Linked DNA regions of Cricetulus griseus. The protein of the gene in region 2 interacts with the protein of the main gene of each other region in a biochemical or structural test. Links are inferred from orthologs where the notes say so. Each region holds a gene or a part of one and is shown on either strand. Other genes may lie near its edges.

Region 1 (4,221 bases), on a different chromosome or scaffold from region 2:
CCTTCTTTCACCCTGACAGGCTTGCATGACGGGCACCTTTACCCAGTGCACCATCTCCACAGCCCTCAACAGATAGGCTTCAAGGTCACTATGTAGTTACAGATCACCTTGCACTCTTGGGGCTACAGGTGTGCACCACCGGGCCCAGCCACCGGTGGTTTTTCAGGGTTGATGCTATGGCTGGAGGTCTGGCGTATCAGCTGCGTGGCCTCCTTCGCTCACTTGATGCTGGTGGCTTCTAAGGGCAGGTGGCACACGACAGAAGTGGCTTGGGTCGGACTTGTTGACACTTTTAACCAAGCATCCCTAGCTTCTTTGTCCTGTCTTTTGCTTATTTCTCCAAGACCAGGGCCCTCGGAGGGCCTGTGCTCTTCCCCCCTGTCCACACAGGCGTATCACACTGTGGTCCCAGGGCAACAGTGTCTCGGCACTTGTACTTCTCTTAGCTCTTTGTAACTGACATATCTGTACCTTTTTTTTTTCCAGACAATTTATGAAAACCGAATATACAGCCTTAAAATAGAATGTGGGCCTAAATACCCAGAAGCACCCCCATCTGTAAGATTTGTAACAAAAGTCAATATGAGCGGCGTGAGTAGTTCAAATGGAGTGGTAAGTCCCGTCCTGCCCAAGATGCCCTGCTGAATTTGGGAGTGTGGCGGTGGCCCGAGATACGCTGCTGGCTTATCCTCTACAGGTTATCACAGTGTGTCTGTAGCATTGGGGCAGGGCTACTTGCATTGTGTCTTGTCGCTCCTCTGAGCTCACTCTGGGAGCCCTGTACTGTCACTGAGATAAGAGTGTTAAGTGCTTGTGACATCGTGAGGTGGAGCTTCAGGGACATGGCCCTCCCCACATCCTCACATGTGCCGTGACCGCTGCCATGTGACACCTTTAATGCTATTTGTTTCTTTGTTTATTTGCTTTATGAGCATGAGTTTTGCCTACATGTATGTCGTTGTGAGCTGCCATGTGGGTGCTGGGAATTGAACCCCTATCGTCTGGAAGAGCAGCCAGTGCTCTCAACTGCTGAGCCATCTCTCCAGCCCATTTGCTTATTTTTTTGAGAGAACCCTGTTCTGTGGCCATGTCTGGCCTTGGAACTCCCTATGTAGCCCAGGCTGGCCTCTACCCATGGCAGCCCTCCCGTCAGCCTCCTCAGTGACTCACTGGGACCTTACTTTTTAAACACATTTTGACAACAGACTCTCTAATCCAAAGCGCTCCCAAGTCTCAGACTGCCGACCAGGACACTGAAGCACTTGAGGGTGGAGCTCACCATGCGGAAGTTGCCCAGCTGCTCAGGTCTGCACAGCTTCCAAAATCTGAAACCCTTGTGGTCCTGAGCACTGTGGCAGCCCTGTCCCACTGTCCGACCCACACACATTTTCTGCTTCCTTGATGGAACTGCCAGGCCTTTCCCTGAGAAGTCGCTGCTGCAGCACTGTTGTAGACTAGAGCTCAAGGCCTCATACAGGCTAGGCAGATCTGCCATGGAGCCATACCCCAGCCATAGATCCTGAATCCGAAGGTTGCTTGCCGGATTCTTGGGGCACCGTACCCAACCTCTGTCTTTGAAGTCTTCAGAAGATGGGCCAGAGAAATAGAAATGAACTGTGTCAGAGCCATCAACTCCTTGATAACCCAAGAGACCAGGGCGCCATGGCTGCTCTTGCTGCCACTCCCATCTTTATCAGCTCCACCCTGGGTGTATAGTGGAAAAAGACAGGACGTGGTCGCCCAGGTGCTGGTCCATCAGGATGGTCCGAGTTTGGCCAGGTTAGGTCTCCCCATGTGTTGGTTCTTCCATGCTGGCAGGGAGGGTGGCTTGGCATGGCCTCTGTGTTGATGGGGCTCTGTGGGCTGAGCATGTCAGCGTTGGGGAAGGCTTTGCTATGGGGTAATCTGGGTGTTTGCCTCTTTGCAGGTGGATCCCAGGGCCACGGCGGTGCTGGCAAAGTGGCAGAATTCCCACAGCATCAAAGTCATCCTGCAGGAGCTTCGGCGCTTGATGATGGCCAAAGAGAACATGAAGCTGCCACAGCCGCCAGAAGGACAGTGTTACAGCAATTAGTCACCAAGGCCCCGGCCTCCCCTCCCCAATCCAACCTAAGTCTTCATTTTCCACAGTAGTGAATTTTCTAGATTCATCTTGTAGACCTCAAAGTACTGGAGAGGAGGCTCCACTCGGACTTCATCCTGAGACACTGTTCTGATACTAATTTCTTGTCCATTTGAAATACCTAAGTTGTGCTGTGTAACATCTGTCGAGTGTAACCGCTGGCTGCTTAGTTGAACTTCTGGGATCAAGAAGGTGTGTTGAAATCAGTTTCCTTTGGGAGCGGTGGGCACAGCTAATGCAACTGTGAACAGACACATTGTCACACAATCACTTGCTGCTCACACATGGCCTGGGTCTGCCTTTGCCCGCCCCGCCCTCCTGCCACAGCTGTGTGGTGGCCCTTAGAATAGATGGGAAGGCTTCAGGTAGCAGCCGTGGGACTACTGCTGGGCTTGGGGGTGCTTTGGCTTCACCCCTGATTTCTTAAGTCTTAAGTGATGCCCCATCCAAGCCATTGCCGCCCCCCCCACTCCTGCCCTTGGCCAAAGCTTAGATTGTAACCCTCCCCTCCCTCTGAAATTGGCCGTGGGTGAGGATTTCAGGGCTTCCCGTCTCCCCACCTTTATCAAGGGGTGCTGCTCTCCCCCTCCTTCTCAATTCCCTCGTTGCCCACACCACCCCACACTTGCTGTGGCCAGAGTCGTGAGATGAGGTTGGAAGAGCCTGGTCTTCTCACTTAGCTCTTGGCCACACGCTCACTTGCCACCAGCCTGGGAAGGGGGTTCCGGGTCCTCGGCCCTGCTGCCACCATCAGCCGATGCACTTTGAGCTCAGGTCTCGAGGTGAACAGAGCAGTCAGTCAAGGGACCACAAACCTGCCAGCGCTCAGGGTCCTTGGTGGCTGCGCCTAGAGAAAGGCCATGCGGAGAGTCCTCAGCGCACAGGGTACTGAGTCGGTTCCTTTTCTCATAATCGCTTTGCTTTTACACACTGAAGTGGTTTGGACAGGACTCCGTGTCCACCCATCAGGTCTGACGTGGAACCTGACAGCTGGAACAGAGGCCCTAACCCTGCGGACTCAGGTTTCAGTCTTGCTGCTCCTCAGACCCTCGGCAGGGACCTGGAGGAGCTCTGTGTCATGAGTTTTCAGATGGGTGGGCCTGGCCTCCTGCCTCATTGCCACGTTCCCCACTCTGTTCAGGACCACTAATTGTTGAAATGTGGATGCATACTGAAATAAAGGCAATTTGTTGTGTTGCAAGGGTTTTGGGGTTTGGGTTTTTTTGTTTTTTGGGGTTTTGTTTTTGTTTTTTTGTTGTTTTTTTTTTTTTTTTTTTTTTTTTGAGAGGGGAGGTCATTAAGCATATGTGAACCCACCTGTTGAAGTAGCAAAACTATCAGGTCTAAAAAGTGGCCGATGTGGCCATTGATCTTTGTGGGGCATACTGTGGTTGTCTGGGCTAGGCATCGTGTAAGTCAAGTTTAACAGTGTCCTTCCATAAGCAGTGTGCTGTCAGTCATCGCCTGATTTTACTATAATAAACAAGTGTGCACTGATACAGAGCCGGCTGTGCCCTTTTTCCGCCAGGCTTATTCCGCAAGAGGGTCAAATGCCTTAGATGCTCTGAGACTGCATCTTGTCCAAAAGCAGGGCTTGACCCTTCTGTGAGAACATTCAGGGTGTTCCAGCCAAGGCCAGGCTCTTCATCACTGTGCTTGAAGTAGGAAAAGGGACAGGTCCCCAATACTTGGTGAGGTGCAAAGCCAGGCAGAGGAACATGTTGCCTGCTGGTGCCCATCAGCATTCCCTGCCAGGCGCACAGGGGCGTCTGTAGGTGAGGTTTGCCCTTCATATGAGAGACTGGTCAGAAGCAAGCAGTGGCCTGGGTTGGCCTGTGCACCAGTTTGTTGTCCTGTCTCAAAAGATACGGGGTTTTGTTTGTTTGTTTTTGAGACAGGTTCTCTATCATGTAGCTCTGGCTGCCTCCAAACCCACCCTGTAGACCAGGCCAGGTTTGAGCTCTCAAATATGCCTGCCTCTGCCTCAAGTGCTGGGATTAAAGGCATGTGCTCCACTACCAGCAAAAAGATCAGTTTTTTATTTGAGAGGTGGTGGTGGCAAGAACTTTGACATGCAGAGACCCAGAGGGGAAAAAAAT
Region 2 (4,355 bases):
TTGTGTGTGTGTGTGTGGTTGTGTGTGTGTGTGTGTGACCTCTGCAAGTCTGACTAAGTGATAGGCCTATATTATTGTTCCATGGGAAAATGTATATAGATGCTCACATGCTGGCCAGTTTCCAATTCTAAGTGTTGACTTAAAACATCTATCACCTACAGAAGCTTCTATCTGAAAAACTGTTCACAAAGCAGAACTCTAGCCCTTACACCCATTCACTGTCCAACCATGATGGAGCACATTCTAAATCAAGGGACTCAAAATACAACTGACATTCTGAAAGGGAAAGGAAGCCGGAACTAAGGTAAATGGAAACATTCCAGGCTTCCCCCTGAAACTTGCCTCAGTAGCACCATTTCCTGCCCTATTTCTCAGCCATTTGTTTTAAAGGGTCCCAAAGAGCTCAGGAAACAGGCAAAGCTGAAACTCACTTCCTCCTCTGGACTACTGGAATTGGACTGAGCAAAGGCACTGTTAATAGTTTCCTACAAGTACAAATGGCCCTGGTAAATCTGGTTGGTAAGTAGCATGGAAAAAAGTCCAACATGAGGGTACTTAAATGCCAATTTTAAGATGCACATAAATAACCCAATATGCAACTAAGGCAGATTTCCAGTTTACTGTTTTCCAGTCAAGAAACAGAGCTACACTTTCATTACACTAAAAATCTGAGTGCTAAGTTTCCTCTTTAAAAGACTGAAATTTATTAGGTGAGGCACATAACATACACTCTTCCACACACTTAACCATACCATTTTCAAAGCATTAAACCTATGACCTGTCAACAAACTTCAGAAAAGGGATACGTTGCAGAACAGGGAAGAAAATAAAGTCTCACTTTCATTTTCTGACACACCCACCAGATGTAAAATCCGGGGGCAGCTATACATTACAAAATTAAATGATTTAAGTAAAAATATTCCTATTACAGTTCTGAATCATTACAGTTCTGAATCTCATACATCTTAGGAAAAGAACTTGTAGAAGTAACACTTGATTTAAACTTTTCAAACCTTCTATTTGGTACCAAAAATTTTAAAAAGTACTGGGATTAATTGCCCTCTAAGAATTTACTACAGATGTGAAAAGAAAACAAGCAAGCAAAAAATAATTGATATGCTGTATTCAGACATTCAGGAGGTGTCAAGCATGCGTATCTGAGTATTCTGAGAAAATATTTTCGGTTATCTGCAAAAGCGTATCATAAACCGAAACCGAAGAATTTGAGGAACTGCACCCTTTCTATAATTCAAAAACTTTAAATTCACACTACTAGGCAAACTCGTCCATGTGGAGAAAAGACATTGTCTTGTCTGGCACAAAAGATCACCCGCTCCGAAGACAAAGTCACATTCCACTGAGTAAGAGAAAGTTAAAGGGCCTCTGAACCAAAACAGACAACTTATTGATACACAAAAGCTTCAAGTCTGGGTATAATTGAGCGTCCTATGGATGAGATGCTCAGTAACATTTGTTGATGGGATGTGCCGGGGCTCAAACCACGAGAGCAAATCGTTGTTTAGTGACTAAACATCTTAAATGTAGGTTAACTAGAAACTACCCCTCCCCTCATCATTGCTGTCTGACTTCGTTAAGAGACTTGCACATATAAACATAATAGATGGCGAAGTGAGTTTATGACTTACACTATCTTCACCACTCGGAACATTTTCCAGAAAGTCCTTTGAGGTTTTAAGATTCAAACACTATTTTAAAAGAATTATTGTCTCAACTACCTAACAATTACCCAGGCTTCTTTCAGACTTCGTTTAGCCTGTAAGTAAAATGAGCATCTTTAACTTTTCCACAGGGCATTTGGAGAATGAGTTATTACTCATAAACGCTTTCCGAGCCTCAGACACCAGGGGCGGTACATCAAGCGTATCCATCAATTTGAGGGCTTTCTGGACCTCAGTTTACCCACTTACGGAAACGGGCTTGGCAAGGGCCCGGGAGGTGAAATTAATTAGTATTTTTAAAATGCTCTGAGATCCGAAGATGAAAGGAAATGTGAGAGGCACGCAGAGATGATGACAATAATCATAACAATAAAAAGAATGACTAACTTGGAAGTCTGCGTTATGTAAGGAAGCAGAGAAGTTACCAGAGTCACACAAACAAAAGAAAAGCCCACCGCCCCTTTGTTCCCCTTCCACTTGGCCTGCCTGCAACCCGGCCGCGGGACCGAGAACCGGGCAGCCAGCCGGGCCGGGGCTCGCAGCCGCCGCGCGCCCGCTCCAGCCGTGGGGGAGGGCGTTCCGGGCAGCTCCTCACAAAGAAGCTTCCTCCCACAGCGCGGGATGCGGCGCCGCAAACTCCGCTCCCCGCCGCCTCCCCGAGAGCAGGCGGGCGCGCGCATAGCCGCGCCGCCACCGGCACAGCCTCGGAGGAAGTTCCGCGCCGCCGGCCCCCGCGCCCCCTTCCCGGAGCCGCACTCACCGGACGACTGCTGGAGTCCGGAACGCCAGCTCGGCCGCCGCGAGGGCCCGGAGCGCGGACACCCGGGGCGCGGGGGCAGCGAGAGCACCGGTGGAACGCAGGCACCCGCGGAGCCCGCCGCCTTCCCGCCAGCCGCCGAGCCCCGCGAGGCCGAATGGAACGCGGAGCCGTGCGCCGAGGAGCGCGGAGCGGAGAGAGGCGCGGGCCCGCTTTGTGGTGAGCCTCCCCCGGCTGCAGGCAAATCCGGTGGCGCCGAACGGCCGCTGCAGCCGCTGCTCCTGCTGCTGTTGCTGTTGCTGGTGCTGGCGCTGGAGAGGAGGCGGCGGCGGCGCCCCCGATGGTCCCTCCGCCTCGAACCGCCTTTGGGTCACTGACACACACTGGGAGGGAGGGGAGGAGACTAGCGGGAGGGCGGGGCCTAAGGGGACGGGGCAGGGCCACATCAGAAGGCGGTGTCGAGGGGGCTCTCGGGAACTGTAGTTCTTTGAGAGAAAAAGCATCTATTGTGGAGGCGCCTACTGGTCGCTCTGCGCCTGCGTAGCGCAGAGCGATTGGGGGCGGGAACTGTTGCCATGGTCACTGATTCACTAAACCTGAAGGTTCAGTACTGTAGTTGACTAAACAAGGCTGGTCTTGTCTTTGGTGCCTTTGGGTTCCGGCCCATAGCCAGTCTCTTCTGCTTCACCCCACCCCCAACAACTAGCCTTACCACTTTCAAGTGCCCAGTGAAATCTCACTTCCTCCCAACATGGCAGTCTCCCTGGCTGCTCAAATTTCTTCTACAAATCATAAATATCCCTTTCCTTTGCCTCCTTCAAGTGAATTATCCAAGACACTAAATCTAGTTGTTCTTAGCATTTTAACAATTAAGTTATAAAACTGTTAGGAGCATGACCATTAACAAAATCCCATAATTTCTTTGCACAGTTAGTAACATCTAACTTTAGTACAGGCAAAGGTAAAGTTCAGCACTAATAACACCGTTTGATCACTGTAATGCAATTTGCACATCTTAAAAATCTGTTATTCTTCAGACATCCAAATTCCAAAATATAAGTTCAGAAGATAAGTAGACAGTTCAAAGCTGTTCAGTGTACATATTAGCTGATTTTCATTTAGTAATGAGAACCCTGAACCATGGTTTGGGTATGTTGTTGGGCTACTCAGCTAAGTCTACACCCATTCTAGTTACCCAGGTATGTATATGTGGTGGTGGTGACAAGTGTGGAGACATCCAGGACAATGTCTGGCTCTCCAGAAGACTTAGAGGTCACCTGCCTCAATTTCTCTCAATAGACTACCTAGAGCCCTACAATCTGGAGGGAAAAGGTTAACGGCCAAGAATCAGGCATATATTTTAAGAAGAGAAACTCGAGTTTTTCAAATGGTCTCAAGATCAGAAAGCTGTGATGCCCACAGACCACATAATTTTTGCTCATTCAAGAAACAAGTGCACAGGGCCTGGAGAATGGCTCAGCAGTGAAGAGCACTAGCTACTCTTCCAAAGGAGCTGGGTTCAATTCCCAGCACACACTTGGTGACTCACAACCATCTGTAACTTCAGCTCTAGGGAATCCAGTGCCATCTCCTGGCATCATCAGCACATAGACATATATGCAGGCAAAACACCTATATTCAAAATATTTTAAAATATATAATGTATATAATAAAATATTTAAAAAACAAGTGAACATATATACTATGTGCCAGGCACTTCATTTATCCTCAAAAATAGAGCTATAAAAATATAAAAGAAGCATACTTTGTATTCAAAGTCCTTACTCTGCCAAGGAAGAGAGATAATGGACTCAGTGTGAGCTATGCTGTCATAGGAAAATGCATACTACCTCAGACTTGGGCAGGGTCAGGAAATGCTTCACAGATCATTTGAATGTGGGGATGACTCACGGTTTTTT
Region 3 (3,618 bases), on a different chromosome or scaffold from region 2:
GGAAAACACACGTCTAAGGATACCGTTAATGTGCCTCTGACCACAGGACAAATGGGGAGAGGTTTTCTTTAAATCACCATAATGGCAAATCCACCAGTGGGAAAGAAAGCACAGGCAATGCTACTTACGAGTATCAGTATCACTGATTTCTAAGTTTTCATTGTTTGGGCTTGAGGAGTCAGGTGGCCTATAGCTTTGTTCTACCCTTGGCATAGGCGTTACCAATGTCCTGACTTTTTCATGGCAGGGCCCAGGTGTCTGTGCCACCGTTGCAGCTTCTCTAGAAGGTATACTGCTGACAGTTTTGGGAACAGCATCTGCTGAACAAGAAGACAAAATTAGTCTCTGTGTAAGAAAAAGTCTGTGGTGGTTTCAATGAAAACGAACCCCATAGTACCATCAGGAACTATTAGGAGGTGTGGCCTTGTTGGAGGAAGCATGTCACTGGGAGTGGGTCTTAAGGCCTCAGATGCTTAAGCCAGGCCCAGGCTCAGGAGCTCTTGCTCTCTCTCTCTCTCTCTCTCTCTCTCTCTCTCTCTCTCTCTCTCTCTCTCTCTCTCTCTCTCTCTCTCCCCTCCTGCCTGACAATCAGTCTGTAGAACTTGCAACTACCTCTCCAGCACCATGTCTGCCTCCTGTGCTGCCATGCTTCCCACCATGAAAATAACGGACTAAACCTAATGTAAACCTAATGTTTTTCTTTATAAGAGTTGCTGTGGTCATGGTGTCTCTTCATAGCAACAGAATCCCTAACTAAGACAACCCAGAACATGTACAGCTCCTAGATGCTGGCCCTACATCCTCACCAAACACAGGAAGATTCCCAGTACAATGCTGTGCCTTGTGATAAAGATGACTAGACAGAGTGATAGTGTTCACAAAAGTAGTTCAGAGCTGGGCTTTGGTGGTGCACACCTTTAATCCCAGCACTCGGGAGGCAGAGGCAGGCGGATCTCTGTGAGTTTGAGGCCAGCCTGGTCTCCAGAGCGAGTGCCAGGATAGGCTCCAAAGAGAAACCCTGTCTTGAAAAACCAAAAAAAAAAAAAAAAAAAAAAAAAGTGGTTCAGAGTCATTAGGAAATACTATACTTATTTAAGAATAGAGAACTAGTGGGCATGGTGGTGCCCACCTGTAATCCCGTTGAAGGTGGAGGCAAGAGAATCAAGTTCAACTTTGGCCTTGACTACATAGTAAATTCAAGGTCAGTTTGGGCTACCTGAGATTCTGTCTGATAAACAACTACACATACACAAACACACATACACACACACAAATGGCAGTGGGTGGGGAGGAAAGGACCAAAAACATTAGTCATTGAACTCAGTGCTATGGGTCCTATTAAGATGTGGTGCTGGGTGGTGGTCCCAGCCCTTGAGAGGGAGAGGCAGGCAGATCTCTGTGAGTTCGAGGACAGCCTGGTCTACAAAATGCATTCCAGGACAGCCAGCGCTACACAGAGAAACCATGTCTCAAAAAACCCAAACCCAAACCAACCAACCAACCAACCAAATAAAACACCACCCAAAGAAGGTGTGGCATGGAGTCCAGGAATCTACATGTTCAACAAGAACTCTAAGAGATTCTTTACACAGTAAAGGTCAAGATCCCCGAGTGCATCCAAGGGAGAAAAGGAGTGGGGCAAAGACAAGGGCAGAGCAACAGTAACACAGGGGAATGCAATGCAAGGAAGCCCTGATGAAAGTCCAGTCAAGGTGAAGCCGAATGGGGGTCTAGAGAGACATGGCTCAAAAGAATAAATTCTTGTAGGATGCATTCTTCATCCTTTAAATAAACCCTCCTGGCACAAAACGATCCGGTTTTGTGAGGTTTAGACTTCATCACTTTAGCAGCACAGTCCAGAGCATCTAGAGTGGTTAAAGGCTAAGGGAGAGCTCAAAGAATGAAGGGGACCCAAGTGTCAGGTGTGTTCATTCCATAGAAGAGTAAACAGAGAAATAAAACTTCGATTCCTGCCATTCATCACTTCAGACAGTGGCTGGCACTCTGGCCACACCCAGTTTACCTGGCAGCAGGAGAGTAGCAGGGGCGAAAAGCTCAATCTGGATCAGAAGATCCACAAGGTCACCAACTGTGCAGTTTGTGGTGCCCCAGTCGAACAGCAGCTCACACGTGGGGCTTTTCCCAGTTTGGAGTAAGGCTTCAAATCTCCTGAAAAACAAAAGACAAAACTAGTACACAATGAGAGTTCATCTGAAGATAGACACTGATCTTGTCACCACTCCCGAGTCCCCTCCTGTCCGGATCACTGACCCTCCGGAAGACAGTAAAGGAACCGGAGTATGAGAGAACCAGAAGTACCCCATCTAGGAGAATGACACTCAGCAGAAAAGGAGCCAGAGAATTCAGGTTAACAACTGAGGCTGGAGGGATGCTCAGTGGTTGAGAAAACTGTTGCCCTTACAGAGGACCAGGGTTTGCTTCCCAGGGCATCCTCAGGGCAGCTCCCAACTACCTGCATTTCCAGTTCCAGGGGATATAAAACCATCTTCTGCCCTCCACAGGTATGGGTATGCATGTGGTGCAAATACATACATGTAGACAAAGCAATGCATACACATGGAATAAAATAAAGAGCTAAAAAATTGTAAGCTAACTTTTGGGGTGGGGAGATATCCCAGTTGGTAAAGTGCTTGTCGTTGCCAGTATGAAGGCTAAGGACCCGAGTTCAGATTCCCCAGCATCCAGGCGAAGAACAGCCAGTGCAGAGCGCCTTCTCTAATATTGGGCTGCACAGGCAGTGATGGCTGTATTCCTGATGCCCACTGGTTAGTTAGTCTAGATGAATTTGTAAGTTCCAGTCTCTGTGAGATACCGTGTCTCAAAAAACAAGATGGATCGAGAGTGAGCAAGGCACCCCATGCTGACCTCTGACCGCCACAAACATGGACACTTATCATACACGCACAGTTAACACAAACACACAAACACATATACAAGTCAAACCCACCTCAGAGAGCTACAGGATATCGCTAGAGAGACAGCTGAGAATGTTACCATGAGAGTGCTAGACTGGGATGGGTGGAGTAGCCAGTTGTGAGCCACACAGCACACTCAAAATGTTACCCAGGTTTAGATCCAAATTCTGAACTCTCTCGAACAAAGCATACACTTTTAAACCACTTAGCTATATTGCAGTGTCTTACATGCACTTTACATGACTTAGTCAGTCTTCTAGCTGTAGACTTTAAAATGAACAAGCCTGCCTCATGAAGCAGAATGTGCCTACACTTTGATCTCAACTTTATTTAATTAAATAGAACGGAAAACATCTTTATTTTTCATCTCATTTCTTTAAAATTAAAAATTAGAAAGTAACACTGTAAACTTAACACAAACAGCTTATTCTGATTTTTCCTCCCAGGGTTATATTTGGAAAAATTTCAAACTTAACAAAAACTTTGAAAGAATAACACAGTGAGCAACAACTTGCCCTCCATCTAGATTTACCAATTGGTCAGCTGGTAGCCTTGGCTATGCAAGACCCTGTCACTAGCAACAGTTGGTTTTCTCTTTCTTAATGCATACAAAATTTGTGGACAAAACGTTTATGTTTGAGCCCCATGAGGCTCATGGGAAGCAGTCGTCCCTGGTGGCTAT

Evidence for each region.
Region 1: the proteins of Peli1 (region 2) and Ube2v1 form a complex in vitro, tested with the Homo sapiens proteins (3 studies listed by BioGRID). The link is inferred for Cricetulus griseus from reciprocal best matches to the Homo sapiens genes PELI1 and UBE2V1.
Region 3: of the proteins of Peli1 (region 2) and Irak4, one has a biochemical effect on the other in vitro, tested with the Homo sapiens proteins (4 studies listed by BioGRID and IntAct). The link is inferred for Cricetulus griseus from reciprocal best matches to the Homo sapiens genes PELI1 and IRAK4.

The regions. Positions count from the first base shown.
Region 1 is NC_048599.1:11,805,108-11,809,328, forward strand, and holds the end of Ube2v1 (ubiquitin-conjugating enzyme E2 variant 1), read left to right. Parts: intron 1-486; coding exon 487-612; intron 613-1,927; coding exon 1,928-2,074; 3' UTR 2,075-3,621; downstream 3,622-4,221. UniProt on the Homo sapiens protein: Has no ubiquitin ligase activity on its own. The UBE2V1-UBE2N heterodimer catalyzes the synthesis of non-canonical poly-ubiquitin chains that are linked through Lys-63.
Region 2 is NW_023276807.1:85,433,273-85,437,627, forward strand, and holds the start of Peli1 (E3 ubiquitin-protein ligase pellino homolog 1), read right to left. Parts: upstream 2,816-4,355; 5' UTR 2,440-2,815; intron 2,333-2,439; exon of another isoform or gene 1-2,332. UniProt on the Homo sapiens protein: E3 ubiquitin ligase catalyzing the covalent attachment of ubiquitin moieties onto substrate proteins. Involved in the TLR and IL-1 signaling pathways via interaction with the complex containing IRAK kinases and TRAF6.
Region 3 is NC_048595.1:391,037,215-391,040,832, reverse strand, and holds part of Irak4 (interleukin-1 receptor-associated kinase 4), read right to left. Parts: intron 2,170-3,618; coding exon 2,024-2,169; intron 321-2,023; coding exon 129-320; intron 1-128.